Astyanax mexicanus: one gene and its partner. The protein of the gene in region 1 purifies or fractionates together with the protein of each later gene. This does not show direct contact. Links are inferred from orthologs where the notes say so. Each region holds a gene or a part of one and is shown in the gene's direction. Other genes may lie near its edges.

Region 1 (7,909 bases):
AAGAAATATTGAGCTAGTTTCATAGTTTCTTTCTTAATTTCCTATTAATATTTCTTGATAAAAGAGAGACTACTTCAGTTTCTGAATCAGTTTCTCTGATTTTGTTATTTATAGGTTTATGTTTGAGTAAAATTAACAATGTTGTTTTATTCTACAAACTACAGACAACATTTCTCCCAAATTCCAAATAAGATAAAAATATTGTCATTTAGAGCATTTATTTTTCAGAAAATGAGAAATGGCTGAAATAACAAAAAAGAGTTTTCAGAACTCAAATAATGCAAAGAAAACAAGTTCATATTTATAAAGTTTTAAGAGTTCAGAAATCAATATTTGGTGATATAACCCTGTTTTTTAATCATAGTTTTTATCATGAATCTTGGAATGTTCCCCTCCACCAGTCTTACACACTGCTTTTGGATAACTTTATGCCGCCACTCCTGGTGCAAAAATTCAAGCAGTTCAGTTTGGTTTTATGACTTTTGATCATCTTCCTCTTGATTATATTCCAGGTTTTTAAATTTGGTAAAGTCAAAGAAACATTTTTAAGTGGTCAAATTGTTTTCCAGAGCTGGATGGATCAGATATTAAAGTGAATGAAGTGTGTTTTTTTGCGCATTAAAATATATCTGGAATCTAACTTAACATATTCATTTTTAATGCAAATTAATCAAGAATTATATTTAGGGGAAACACACCATCTCTACTGTCAGTTACTCAATCTACTGTCTGAGTGAGTTTATACAGTACAGAAGATCGGTCCCATGAGTCGTGTACAACCCAGACGAGGACCATATTGAACCCTTCCTGTTCCCTATCACTATCACTGGCCACCATGAAGCCTATAGTTCACATATTGGACAAAAGGTTCTGCTTTCCAGCTGAAAAGTATGGGTATAATTTAATATGTACTACTACTAATAATAATACCACACTAAACATTATTCAGTGTTCATTATATTAAAAGCATAGCATAGCAAACACTAATCATAGCACTAATCCTCATATAAAAATAATAAGTAAATGATAATGATAACCAAAAGTAATCAGCTCAGATCTGCAGGGATGCTCTCTCTCTCTCTCTTTGTCTCTATTGTCTATTGAATTTGTCATTGTTATTGTTTGAACCAAAGATGAAACGACAAATATTCAAAGGACCTGTCACGGTCAGATACGCAGAGGACATCTGTATAATGCATTATTAAACCTGAGTTGATCAAGCTGAAGTTGATGAAGTAAATCTTTGTTTTTGATGTAGTTTATACGTTTATTTATTCATGAATTTATTCTAAATGATATTTGTAAATGCATAAGTTAACATTGCTGCACACAGTGCTGGATTATCCTCACATCCATTCGAATCGTACCATGTTTTATTCTTCAGCCGCTCGTAATAAAAACACTTAACAGTTTTGATAGCTGTTTATAATCACGTATTAAATGTGGTGTCCACTCCTATAGAATGCAATATTACAGCACTGATGATAATAATTACAGCACTGTCTGCTCACCGCTCACGGTTTGTGTTACCCGCTGCTGGATGCTGGTTGCTGGGGCTCTGAGCACTGGGTTATTCTGAACAATGCCTGGAGTTTATTGCTACACACGTGCCCTCTGGTGGTGGAAGAGCTTGATGGCATATATTTGCTTTATCTGTGTGAATAGCAGGGTATTTTGTAATAGGAGGACAGACTGTTGTTTATATTTCGAGGTACTGTAGGTCAGTACTGCTTTAGGCGTGTTGGTCTGTGCTCAGTAGAAGACAATTGACTGTATGCAGAAACATCGGAAAGAAATAAACACAAATATCACAAATATCTGCTTTTGTGTGATTTTCTTATTGAAATATGCTGTTTTTTATCATATGTGTTGATGTATGTTACAAAGAAAGAAGTGAAAATGGTAATATATATATATATATAACATTTCTCATTTTTTAATAGATTTTTTATAGATTATTATAGATTTTTATCAGTCAGTAAGTCTGTAGTTAGTGGATACTTTTGCACCCCTTACAATAGAAAAGTTCATTTAAGTATATTTTTTAAAAGTATTTTAAAAGTTTTTTTTTATTTTATTTCAACAATAAAATTAATACGTACTTAAACAGATACTAAATGTACAATTATGGAACAACGTATGGCAACTTTTATAATTTTAAGCTTAAATATTTAAATACAACATAAAAGCATTACATTGTGCTTTTGAGTGCTTTTTCATATTATGTGTTATTAAACATATTTTTTATTACACTTGAAATATAAATGTACTAAATGTAAATGCACTTTAAGCAGTATTTAATGCCAAGAGATATATTTTCCATCAGCATGTTTAATTTAAAGCACATTGCTTAAAAATACAATTCATGGAAATACAGACTTTTATGAAACTATTCATGAAAATGTACTTTTAATGTTTATACTTTTGAGTATACTCCCTTTTAAAAGGGATATTTCAAGTCTTTTCTAAGAAAAATAGAACTACTTTAAAAAATACATATTAGATGTTAGTAATTCTAAAAGTTTTAGTTAGATATCAACATTTCTCCTCTTCTGTAAATTAAGTTCTACAGGTACAGCCAATAACTGAAAATGATCTAAAATCCAGTGTGCAAAAAATGCAGTAAACTTAAAAAAAAAAAAAAAAAAACTAACTAACTGAAATTAGGGAAAAAAAAAAAAAAAAAAAAAATATATATATATATATATATATATATATATATATATATATATATATATATATATAACTATAATAATAACCATAATAATAACTAGAAAAGAAAATGATACAGAAACACAGAGAACTCTATCAAAACTATCAAAAGTTAAAGTCTTTTCTTTAGAGAAATTACAGATGAAGCCAGAGAGTGGTGAGTCCTGTTTTCTACACCTTCAAAAGACTCTTGGAAACTGAAGAAAAAACTGCTACAGGAGGACGTCTGGCTGACCCACATGGAAATATTGGACTAAGTCTCAGTTTCAGCAGTGAAGAGAAAATTTAGAGGTCTGACAGGTGAAGTGCAGAAATAAAGTCATTGTTTTTTGGGTCAAAGAGGCACTGCTACTAAAAAAAATAGAGGTCTTCAAAACCTTTATTGTTTTTTTTTATTATTTCTTTTTAGCTATTTTATCTAAATAAGTCCCTCTAGCCCAACCCTGGTATAAGACATGAATGATGCCAGTGGTTACTGTTAGTCTGCTCGAGAGAGTCCTATTCTATTGGTAGTTCTTTTATACAGGGACTAAACAAACTGTTAAATGTTAAAATTTTAACATATTTGAGCTTTTTTTTTCAGAAAAAATATAAATGTTACAATTTAACTTTGGACAGTCCCATATATAATACTTACTAAATTTCTCAATATTTTGTGTGACCACCATGATTATCTAGCACTGCCTTAACCCTCTTGATGATATCACAAAGAAATTAATAAATACAAAGGAAGAAAGAAAAAAAGACAAATACAGCACAGAAAGAAGAAAAAAGAAAGGGAGAAAGGAAAAGATTGAAAGAAAAGAGAGAAATTAATACATAAAAAAGAAAAAAGGGAAAAAAGAAAAGGGAAATGACTAAAGAAAAAGAAAAAAATGCAGCATAGAAAAAAAGTGAAAAAGAATAGACTGAAAGAAAGAAAAATGATATAGCCTAGAAAGAAAGAAAAGGCAAATGAAAGAAAGAAAGAAAGAAAGAAGTGAAATAAAATTGAAAGAACAAAGAGAGATTAACTAACTAACAAAGAAAGCAAGAAAGAAAGAAAACAAAAAATAAAAATATGAAAATAAATAACAGATATCAATAAAGAAAAAATGAAAGAATGTAACCTAAAAAGATTAATATAACCTAGAAAGAAAGAAAGAAAGAAAGAAAAATATGTCATTGAAAGAAAGAAAAATGTTGCATAGAAGGAAAGAAAAAAGGGTGAATGAAAGAAAGAAAGTAAAGAAAGGAAGGAAGAAATATAGCCTGAACTGAAAAAAGAAAGAAAGAAAGAAGTGGTGAGAAATAAAAGAGTGAAATGAAAAATGAAAAAATGGCCTAGAAAGACAGACACAAAGAAAGCATAAGAAAGAAATAAGAATATAGCCTAAAATAAAAAAGTAAATAAAGTAAAAATCATAGAGAGAAAGAAAGAGAGAAAGAAGGAGAGAAAGAAAGAAGGAAAGAGGAGCGGGGCTGCGGGTAGTTTGATGGGAGCCCGTGGCCGGGGGGTTTGGGGGGGATTGGAGGGGGGGGGGTGTTGGATCTGTCGATCTGTATGAGGGGAGGAAGTGACGCGACCGTGTCGTCAGCGCTGTGTTGATGTTGTTGGACGCTGAGCGGAGGGGAAGCTCCAGCAGTGGCGGCTCGGCGGCGGCGGAGACTTGGGCTGTTTTTGTTCTCTCCGCGGCGCTTTTTACCCACAAAAACGACGCCTTACCTTACCCGAAACCTCCAGGGAGGAGCCCTCGGTCCAGAGAAGACGGCCAGGCTGAAGCACGGGCGGCGCAGAGCTCTCCCCGAGCCGGAGGACTCGTCACCCCTGACACCCCTCCTCCTCTTCCCGCTCCCCCCTCCCTGCCCTCCGCGCACACACAGCCAACATGACGATCCTGCCCAAGAAGAAGCCGAGCTCCACGGTCGGGGTCCAGGACCACGCCGACGAGAGCGACAGGCGAGCCGGCTCCGACCCTCACCAGCACGGCCACGGCGTTGTGCGGACCGGGGCGAGGCCTAGAGCTTCACCGCCGCCGTGGTCATATCAAGCCGCGCCGCCTCAGTCCAGGGAGGACAGGCGGAATGAATCGAGCTCGCGGCCGCAGCAGGCCTCCCCTCCGCCGGTGGGAGCTGGATCCCCCGCCGGCCCGGGGGACGGAGGCGGTCTGGGCGGGATTAGCTGCGTGTCCGGCGGTCGCGGGGAGCTAGCGGGCGGCGTGGTGGGCTGTGGGGGCACTATCGGCAGCTGCTGCTCTGGGCCGGGTCTCAGCAAGCGGCGGCGGCAGGCGACCTGCTCTGGGGGAGTCGCGGGCGGGGGGACACCCGGTGTGTCCGGGGGTGGTGGTGTGGGTCCAGGCCCAGATCAGGAGGAGGGTGCCGGGTACAACAGTGAAGATGAGTACGAGAATGCTTCCAGACTCCAGTCAGAAGATCCAGCAACAGTTGAGCAGGTAAATATGCAGCGTTTGTGTATGTAAACATTAGCTAGATAGCTAGTTGGCTATCACCAAAATAAGCTAAGCTAAGGCAGCTGCAGCTGACGGTTATTTTGGCAGCTGACGGTTATTTTGGCAGTCGACTAATCTGACGATTATTTTTTTCGATTAGTCGATTAGTCAGCGACTAAATTTGCCCCCTGTTTAAAAGATTTGAATTTTGAGCATCACTTTCAAGTGGAACTTGGTTTCTCACAGCCAAACTATCAAAATACAGGTGTTTATAGTGAGATGATCATTCATTTTACAAGGATATTGTACTGCAGGGTATTGTACTATTTTTTTTCCGATTCGTCGATTAATCGGCGACTATTTCTGACATCCCCTCCATCACTGCCTCCTGTGGGCAGGGCTCCTGTTTCAACTCGTCTTTTAAATCACTTGCTGAAATCTGCACACCTGTGATTCTTACCCTGTTCTAGCAAACTAATAAATTAATATATGCAGATAAAACTCAAATATCAACCAATCAACCATTATTTTGACTCGGAGGTGCATTAAGGACAACCCTCATTTTCAGTGTAGCTGAGCATTTACAAATACAAGGACTGACATGACGAAGAAAATAACTACGTTTAGTCATATTAAAAAACAGAAACTAAAAGATAAAAATAGATGAAAAAAGAATAAAATAAATAGCATAAACAGAAAGAAACAAAGCCTAGAAAGACAGAAAGAAGAGTATACCCTGGAATTAAAGAAAGGGTGAAAGAAAGAGAAAAATATAGCATAAACAGAAAGAAACATGCAGCCAAGACAGAAAGAAAAAATAAAAAAAAACAATAATACCTACTTTAATTAAGAAATTAAGATTAAAAATGAGATTAATACAAAAAGTTAAAATTAAGCTAAAACTAACTTTTACATAGTACAATAAAAATACAAATGAATAAAGTATTAAAAAATAAGTAATTTACATAAGTAGGACTGCACAATATATTGTATCAGTGGCATGATATAAAAGAGTTAAATAACAAAAAGAAGGAGAGAGAAAGAGTGACAAGATAAGAACAAGACAGAAAAGGGTAAAACAAATGGATTGACAGATATTCAACAAACAAAAATGAATAAAGAGTTCTAGAAAGAAAGACAGAGTGAGAGAGAGGGGGGGGGTGGGAAATGAATGGACAGAAGCGAGATTGATATAAAGAAAAAATGACAGCACATCTGTGTGCATCTAAATTCAGAGTAAAATAAATATCAGGCAGATGTAGTCTCAGATATAGTTTGCGATGCATTAGCGATAATCTTTAAGACTCACCCCTAATTTGTCTTACTAAATTTTTGTTACTAAATGCTTCGTTACACCACATGGCGCTAAAACTATCACAAATCAATCCATAATTCCTGTTCTTGCTTATTTAGGAGTATTTTATTATCTTTAAAACAGATATGAAATATCGTAGAGATTTGTCTTGTAAATTACAGAATTGTAATGCCATTATTATTATTATTATTATTATTATTATTATTATTATTATGGGCAATGTATCATGATAATATCGTATCAGGAAATGCTCTTTAATTGTTCACATGTACACATTGCAATAACTATTCTGAAACAGATATATTGTGCAGCCCTGATTGAACACAGTTCTTTGGATCACCTGGTAAAGAATAACCTGATAAATGTAAAAGTGTTGAATTTTGAGCATTACCTTGAGGTGGAACCTTTAGATGGTTTCTAACAGATAAAGTATCAAAACACAGATGCTTATGATGTGTAAATGCAGACTGGAAATCCTAATTTAATGAAGACAGCAAGCATCAGCAGTGTTTTGTGGTTAATCATAGTAATAACAGAAATAAAATACTAATAATAAAGGCTTGGGAAAGCTGCTACTTGATGAACATTCATTTAAGTATATAAATATTGTTGACATTTATTTCTGTTTTTATTACTGTTAGGATATTGTACTGCAGTGATGATAAGGTATCAAACAACAAACATCTTCCCACTGCATCCGCAGTCTATATAAGCATAAAATGTTATGAGAGTTTGAGTGATTTTTTTTCTTTTATGACACGATATTAAAACTTTAAATAAAATAAACTAGCCGATATTACAGTAAACACTCTTAAACACTCTTCAACCCCACAGGTGAAGTTGCACTGTCATTAGGCCTGTCACGATAAGATTTTTTGGTAGACGATATATTGTCCCAGAAATTATTGCGATACACAATATTTTTGTCATTTGAGACAGATTTTGAAATAATGATAAAAGAATAGCATAAAAAATCAATTATACACTTTGTAAAGATGACAACATTTGAATAATTCATTTATTATAATTAGTTTGAGAAATATATACTTTATTTTTTCACCTACCTTAGTCCACACTTTGAGTATGGAGTCACAGTTATTGAAGCATGACTGGATAAAATACTGTTCACTGTTTTATATGTGAACAAACATACAAATAAACACAATACAACACAAAATACACATCTCGTCAGTCACACTGCACAGTCTGAATATATTCTGTCTAGACTTTAGAAGTTCGGCTGCTATTTTTACAGTTTCACTGAATCTTGAAGCCATAATCAAACAAAAATAAATATTTTAACAACAAAAAAAAATAATATCTAATCTATCTGCCATGAAAATCTAATTTCGTCAGTTTGGTTGCTATGTTAGTCCCCTGCTTTTTCCAGCTATGAGAAATGGTGCACCACATACATTTTCTCAACCCAGAGAAGACAAGAAAATGTTTCTCA
Region 2 (8,500 bases), on another chromosome or scaffold:
AGGGAGTGTCAATGAATAGGTTTGGTAATTGGTCTTGTAAATTAGGGAGAAAATGGGATATAAATTAGAAAAAAAACATAAGGAATAATCTGTGCACTTTCAAGGCTCTCAGTGCCATGTTTTAAATGTCAGGGCTCTTGGATTTGCACTAATGACGTTTGGAGCAACATTGAGATTGCTAATGGTGTAAAAATGGCAATTTCTTTGCATGGGTAACATTATGTCTCTCTCATATTATTTTAGTATTGAAAGCCTGTTGGGAGCATCTGCTAAAAGCTGTGTATTTCAGAATGCTAGGGGTACTCATTATCATTTTTCAATACAACCCAAGTCCATGTCACACTGGATTTCTCCTTTAAGCCACCAGTATTGCGTGTAGCTCGGCCTATCCCCAAAGATTACACTTATAAACAGACTGAAAAATGATATACTGACATGCCAAAAATTTGGCCTGATAGTGGGTGGCATTGAAGATTCCATAACTTACAGTGTCATGCTTGTGTTGGGAATTTGTAATAGAAGGCATTACCTCCCACAGTGGACAGTTCAGTAGGTGTTAATGATCGTTACCAGCTAGAATATTTTATTCACAATAGATGAAACAAAAGAAGCAACTCTAGCAGGAATCGCATCCATATTCAATACAGCAGACCCCCCACATACACATATACTGCAGGTTTGTTCAGCGTTCTTTAGCTTCTATGACACATGGCAAAAGTCATGGGACATGATACTATTTTCTGTCCTATTACTTTTGGCATGTATTTTTGTGTAAATTTACTCATATCTGACAAATGCAGCAAATTTACCACTATTCATATATTCCATTGTAGCTGCCATAAATGTGCAGTCAGTCTAAAGTGTATATTGCCACTCTCGGCCCTCTAGATCAGAGACGGCCCCGTGGTTCATCTGGCAGCCACCACCACCTAATGTACAACCAGCTTTGAGAGCCGATGAGGTGGGCAGACTCTATACACTTCACCTGCTGTCTGTGGGCTGGGCCTGTACTCATTAACTTTTACTGTATCAGCTCTCTTTCTGTCTGTAATCATCTGAAATCATTTAACAATAATGAAAAAAAAATGATCTCAGGTCACCACTCCTATTTTAAGGGTAGTCTTTACCTTCAGGGTCTGTTATCTCGGGTCTTTCTCGTCTTGAAACACTTGAAAGTGGGGATTTATCGTTGTTTTCTTTTCTCAGTTGTGAAATGCTTAAGTGTGGGTTAACATAGAGGCATCCATGTTTTAACTTAATCCATGTCTATGTGGAGCTTGGTATTAATAATATTTATAAAACTGTTTAGAGACACAGAATCCTTTATAGAGCTATAACTCACTTAATGTTTGTACATAGATCAAGATTCATACATTAATTAACACAATGGTGTATTCAGTCCTGTTATATGGTATGATTATTAATGTCAATGCCTGTAAAATTCTGTATGTAGGTCCAGATAATAATTTCTTACTCTATAACTGGATTCTTTAGATATTTCCCAAAAGTGATTTCCCAAGCAAATCGCTTATACTACTATTTATCAATTTCAACATTAAGTATGTTTCATAGCCTGCAGATATTTAGCCTGCAGATATTTTTGTCAAAACTACAATTTAAAAGTATTTATTGAATATTTAACACTTTAATATACTAGCAGATAAACCAACATAGCGTAATATATTTACCTCAGCAGTGCTATTCAAAGAATAGCGGAGGTATGTAGGGCTGCCACCTCTGCTCAAAAAACCCTAACTCTAGAGAACATACTGCAATACGACTTCAAATAAATGAGTATAATTTATTATTAGTTATTCACATTCCACTCTTTTTGTATGAATATTTTTAGTTGCGTCCCTAATTGCAAGTGATGTTTACATAGTTCATCTAAAATGAGGAAAATATCTGTTTTCCTGTTCTCAACAAAAGAACATAAAATCTTTTGTCTCGAAACACATTTAGTGTCACTGCCACAAAAAAAACTTGTACCGTATCTCTAAAAAGCAGCTTAAAGTCTATATCAGATTTTTAATGAATAAGTGAGTAAAAGATTTTATTCATAATTATTTAAAGCATTTCTATTGGTAAATTTATCATGAAATTCTAATGCAATATAAATCTAAACAGCCTAATTTTATTGAAATTAGCCAATTTGTATTGTAGCCAAATTATACTGAAATCAGCTAAATTCTCCAGCAGTAAATAGCTGTGATTTCTCCTGTTCTGTCCAACAGATGCCAGCCAGCTGACTCTGGACTCTAACACAGCCTACAAACAGCTCTACATATCCCGAGGAAACAGGAAAGCAGCCCTGAAGAGAGACCCTCAGTCCTACAGTGACAGCGCCCAGAGATTTGACTGCCTTCCTCAGGTTCTCTGCAAGGAGGCCCTGTCCGGAGGGGCCCATTACTGGGAGGTGGAGTGGAGCGGGGAGGGAGCCTCCTTTGGCATCACCTACAAAGGAATCAAGAGGACGGGCTACGGAGATTCGGCCCGACTTGGCTACAACCGCAAGTCCTGGAGCCTGTTCTGCTCCGACTCCAGCTATTCGGCTCGCCACAGCAAAGACCAGGTGGAGATTAAAGCTCCCTACTCGTCTCGCATCGGGGTCTTCCTGGACTACGATGGAGGCACTCTCTCCTTCTACAATGTCTCTGAGTCCATGTCACTTATCCACCAGTTCAAGGCCTCCTTCAGTGAGCCGGTCTTTCCTGGCTTCTGGGTGTGGTACGAGTCGGCCATCACTATTTGCCAGTTGTAGAGCTGTTTGTGTGCTAGGGTAGTATAAGAGGATGAAGAATTGCGTAATTATATATTTTTGATCATTATAAAAGAACAGATTTTTTTAATGTCACTAAAAATCCACTTTCTTTTTCTTTTCTTTTTTTTTAAGGAAAATACCTGTGTATGATATTTGTCAAATTACATGTGTGACAATGTACGTGTGTTTCAGAGCCAGTGATTGTATTATTTTTAATATACTATATACTATACAATATTTTTAATATACTATACTATAAATACAGTATAGACAAATGCTCCAAATGTCAGCTTAAATGTAATGTAACTGCATATTAATAATGTTTTATAAACATGAAGAAAGCTAATAATCAGAATGTACACTATTGATTTGTGTGTGTGTGTGTGTCAAGGCACCATTGTTCTGTGTGCACAAATGGAGAAATCAAATAAAGATTTATGAAATGACAAAGTTATTGTATTTGTTTTTATAATAATTATTATATTATGTAGTTACAAATGAAGGAAAGCTTCATTCTTGTTGTAGTCAATCAACAAACTAAACAAACCACCCCAGCAAATAAGTACAAAGTATGTGTGAAAAGTGAGACAAGCTTCAGGGTAGATTAAGTAAATAACAAGAGCGCCATCTACTGGTGCCAGACGCTACATTACAAATGGCACCCTATATCCTATACCAGTGGTCTCCAACCATAATAAAAAATCCTCATCTTTCTGCAGACTTTGCAGCCAATCCTATTTCACTCCATTAGATTTAGCTAATTACCTCCTTCAGAAGTTCCTGAGTTGCTGAATGGGGCATATTAGATTTGACCTTGTTGAAATCTGCAGGAAGAAAGCTGGCCTCTACACTAAAATACTGTGCTTTAAAGGAGCAATCTTTTTGTGTTTTAGTCTCTGGTCCAACCCACCGCCCATTCCCCAATCCTATTTCCACACCCTGGGTTGCCAGGTATTCAACACAACAGCAAACACAGCTGTGTGGAGCCATGGAATTAGCCAGTAAGATAAACTGGTTTAGCAGAAACAGCTTTAGCGAGATGCTACCTAAGCTAAAAAAGTCTCAGCAAGTGATATGACCAGAGACAGAGTACAATGCAAGCAAATACTGGCAATGCATTTGATAGTTGGAGACAGCTTAGAGCCTAGAAGGACTTGTTTTTGTCAGTTCAGTGTCCTCAACTTGACAACCTGTCTGAACAAAACAACAGAATAAAAAAATTAATTGAGATAATTGAACGAATTAAAATATTAGGAAGAAAAACATATTAGAAGAGTAAGTGGTGGGATAAAATGATTAAATTAAGATTTAATTAACAAGAGAATAATATTTAAAAAATAAAAGATAAAATCTACATGAAAAAAATAACAAAATATTGAAATAGCTAATAAAAAAACACTAAAAATGAATGTTAATACAAAAGGATAAAATGTGTATTATATACATATACCTGTAAAAACTTGTCTTGAGGTGCTGAACAATAGTATTGCCTTCAACCAGCAATATAATTAATTAAATATGATATAATTATATAATATATAATATAACTATATAGTATAAAGTATAATTATATTCATAATTCAATATAAATATAATTCACGTAGACGAAGGACTAGAAATATAAAAGAGGTGGTCTCAATGTAAGCATTCTCTTCAAAACCAAATCTCCTTCTCAGGAATTTACTTTATAAATAACCACAATTATAAAAATGTAAATGATGGAACTAAAATAAATAATAATAATAAGTAAAAATATATTAAGAAAATAAATAAAATAAAATAAAATAAAAACGTAAAGGTCAAAAGTAAAAGCAGTAACAAAACAAATAAAAAGATGAAATTAATAAAATAAATAAAATAAAAGGGCTAAAAGGTAAAGCATAACATTAGATAAATAAAAAAAACAATATATAGTGAACTTCTTTCACTTTGGGAGCCACCGGAAAATATGTATAATAGCATGATGTTTTTAAAGTAGGAATGTTATCAACAGTACAGGTGTGTGAGTTCAGAGTTGAGTGGTAAACGAGTGAGGAGGAACTGTAGTGAATCTGTTTGCTAGACGAGCGCATTTCGGCTGCGCACCCATTCAGAAACCGCCGGCCGCGAAAAGAGAGAGAGAGAAAACATGGCAGCGCAGGTGAGAGCGAGATTCTCTGCTTTAAATATAGACTTATTATTCTTCTACTAGCTCTTATTTAATGGCCTAGGTCTATATAGAAACTGTATTAATGTGTGTAAAGCTTTAAATCTGCTGTAGAGAGAGACGGGGCTTTTGTAAATATCTGAGTGCGAGTTAGCGGGTTAGCGTAGCTTCCTGCACATGTGTGTACCTGCCCCTCACTGCGCTTCTGTACTGTATATACAACTAACTAACTATTTAAACACTTAACCTGCGGTCTCTGATCATTTCTGAGTGCCTGCCCCCTAGCTGATCTTAACAACTGGCTCGTCTTATTTAGTTAATTTATATTTAGCTTCAGTTAGTTAGCTTGGTGTTAGCATGCTAGCTGGCTAAGTTAGCTAAAGCTAGCAATTTGACCATCCTACAGATAACTTACATTACAGTAAACAGCTCAGCATATGGTTCACTGACGCTAGCTGACACTTTCTCTGTTAATATTAAACATATTATTGTAGCTACATTATGGTTTATAAAGAGTAATTTAATTTAGTTGTGCTAACCGTATGTAACGTTACTAAGTTAGCTAGCTACTGTTGTGGCTCATGTGTCACTATGGCAACATGAACTGTTGAGGCACGCGCTGCAGTGCTTAATTAACTAACGTTACCTAACTAGTGACTATAAATGTGATTTTGTCTTTTGTTATAGATATACACATGTACATATACACAGCTCTGGAAAAATAAGAGATCACTTAAAAATGATAAGTTTCTTTGATTTTACCAAATTAAAAACCTCTGGAATATAATCAAGAGGAAGATGGATGATCACAAGTCAAGATCACAAGCCATCAAAACAAGCTGAACTACTTAAAATTTTGCACCAGGTGTGGCATAAAGTTATACCAAAGCAGCGTGTAAGACTGGTGGAGGAGAGCGTGCCTAGATACATGAAATCTGTGATAAAAACCCGGTTATTCCACCAAATATTGATTTCTGAACTCTTAAAACTTTATGAATATGAACTTTTTTTGTTTGCATTGTTTGAGGTCTGAAAGCTCTGCATCTTTTTTGTTATTTCAGCTATTTCTCATATTCTGCAAATAAATGCTCTAAATGACAAAATGTTTATTTGGAATTTGGGAGAAATGTTGTCCGTAGTTTATAGAATAAAACAACAATGTTTTTTTAACTCAAACATATACTTATAAATAACAAAATAAGAGAAACTGATTCAGAAGCGGAAGTGGAGTTTTTATTGTACTTTATAGACTTTTTTGTACTTTAGAGTAATCTAAATTAGTCATTAATAATTTAAATTAAATCAGTTAAATTACTTTAATTAATGCGTATGTTGAAAGTATAGAAATGGAAACTATTTCTATCCAGACCTTGGTACATGATGATGGACATCATTTGTAAGTTGAAAATGCTTACAGGTAAAAAGTGTATAAAGACTTTATACAGTTGGTTATTTTTCATGTAAATGATTTATTTCTGTGCTTTGGTGCCTAATGATTTTTTTTTCTTTCTGTTTGTCAAAGATGGCAGCCACGAAAGTGCCCGAGGTGCGAGACATCACCCGGATAGAGAGGATTGGTGAGTGATGATGATGGACATTAGGACACATATGACTAGAACACACATGATGCATGCTAAATATGTAGTCTAGTGTTATGTAGTGTAACCGTTAATTCTCTTGAGCTTAGAACAAATTATTTTTTACTATGGATAAAAATGTTTTGTTGTCTGGGGTTTTAGGTGCACATTCACACATTCGAGGCCTTGGACTAGACGATGCTTTGGAGCCACGGCAGGTGGGTCTGCGTATACTGGTTTTCTTCATGTGTTTTGCACCAGTATGTACAATAATTATGTTTGTGAACTGGATAGTTTGTAATGATTTTTGTGGATTTTTTTGCTCTGTGCTGTTCAGGTTTCTCAGGGGATGGTGGGTCAGCTGGCATCTCGGCGGGCTGCTGGTTTAATCTTGGAGATGATTAAAGATGGGCACATTGCTGGCCGTGCTGTGCTCATCGCTGGCCAGCCTGGGACTGGCAAGACTGCTATTGCTATGGGTATGACTATTTGTATTAAGAACAATTGCCTTATTTTCTGTTTATTAAAAGTGGACAGTTTCCACTGTAATTCCTATTTTATATACAATATGGGTCAGTTTCCCTAGTCCTATACAACATGTTCCTTTCAATGGGAAATCTTCACTTAAGATTCAGTGTAGTCAAAAAACTAGGCTTAAATCCTGTCTAGGTAAACTGCCTTTGATTAATGCTGCTATTACCTGATATTGTGGGACCCATCAATGACAGTCTTTTGTTTTGGTTGGACAGGCATTGCTCAGTCACTTGGATCTGATACGCCTTTTACTGCTTTGGCTGGGAGTGAGATCTTCTCTCTGGAGATGAGCAAGACAGAGGCACTCAGCCAGGCCTTCCGCAAAGCCATCGGAGTCCGAATCAAGTTAGTCTGACTGAGGAAATAATGTAACGTCTTGTCTATATAGTTTGCCTTAGCAGTAAGGAGTAGTAGATTTTAAGAGGTAACATTGTAATTTCTGTATGCCCCATCCAGACCTGCCAACACCAATTTTGCTTAACAGTCTCGCATTTTGACCTCCTAATATGCTAATATGTACAATCCCATGTTCTAAAGTATGCATATCGTTTTGTCTCGCATTTTCCATGTTAGTCTCAAATTTGACTGTTGAGTGTATTAGCGTCCGCTCACAATGTTGCGCTGTTTATCAACGCTGATTTATGTCCAATTAACATGCACACTAATCCTGCAAGCTACCCAACGAGCCATTACATTTTTTCCTCCGAATGAAAAATATCAGCACAGCGATGCCGTGTTGACATTTTTCAGTCTCTCTCTCTCTCTCTCTCTGTCTTTATCTCTCTTTTTCTATCTCTCTTTCTCTATCTTTTTCTCTCGTCTCTTTGCTATTGCATTAGCATAATTTGAAGCATTGTTAATTTTGTCTTGCAACGAAAATGGCATTTAGTTTTAGTCATAATTTTGTCATCTGAAATGTATTTAGTTGTAGTCTAGTTTTAGTCGACAAAATATCATAAGAATATAGCCATCAAAAATACAGTCAATTTAGTCGACTAAAATGTAAATGTTGTAAATGTAAATGCTTTTTCATCAGTTCCCTTGAATTATTAACTACATACTTATAAAAAATTTAACATTTATTAACCAGTTGTGTAAGATTGTTAATGTTTGAATGTGAAATATATTTATATATGATTTCATATATATTATTATTGTAGGTATGTGACTATAAATATTTTACGTTTAAAATTTTGTTCTATAAATCAGGTGATGAAACATTTGAATGGTTAAATTATAGTTTAAACAGAGCTGTAGACGCAAAAACACAGCTTTTAAAGGATCTAGTTTTATCTCCAGCACTAACCCAGCACACCTACTGTAGCTACAGTCTATAAATAAGCTCAAAAACACACATTCACATACTGTCCTGTAGAGATGCTCTCAGGATGTACTGAAAGACTTTGAGTTAAAGTAAGAAACCTATGAGAAAGTGGTGTAAAGAAATTATTCGTCAGCAAAATTAACACTGATTTGAACATG

Evidence for each region. Proteins that work in one complex are often made in the same cells at the same time.
Region 2: the proteins of otud5a (region 1) and ruvbl2 purify together in Homo sapiens (affinity purification with mass spectrometry, with the first as the bait; 3 studies listed by BioGRID). This does not show direct contact. The link is inferred for Astyanax mexicanus from reciprocal best matches to the Homo sapiens genes OTUD5 and RUVBL2.

The regions. Positions count from the first base shown.
Region 1 is NC_064419.1:3,684,303-3,692,211, reverse strand, and holds the start of otud5a (OTU domain-containing protein 5-A), read left to right. Parts: upstream 1-4,284; 5' UTR 4,285-4,580; coding exon 4,581-5,144; intron 5,145-7,909. UniProt on the Homo sapiens protein: Deubiquitinating enzyme that functions as a negative regulator of the innate immune system. Has peptidase activity towards 'Lys-48'- and 'Lys-63'-linked polyubiquitin chains. Can also cleave 'Lys-11'-linked ubiquitin chains (in vitro).
Region 2 is NC_064408.1:15,128,260-15,136,759, reverse strand, and holds the start of ruvbl2 (ruvB-like 2), read left to right. Parts: upstream 1-4,771; 5' UTR 4,772-4,889; coding exon 4,890-4,901; intron 4,902-6,429; coding exon 6,430-6,484; intron 6,485-6,646; coding exon 6,647-6,702; intron 6,703-6,821; coding exon 6,822-6,963; intron 6,964-7,233; coding exon 7,234-7,363; intron 7,364-8,500. Other genes in the region: ftr83 (finTRIM family, member 83), read left to right, coding at 2,235-2,761. UniProt on the Homo sapiens protein: Possesses single-stranded DNA-stimulated ATPase and ATP-dependent DNA helicase (5' to 3') activity; hexamerization is thought to be critical for ATP hydrolysis and adjacent subunits in the ring-like structure contribute to the ATPase activity.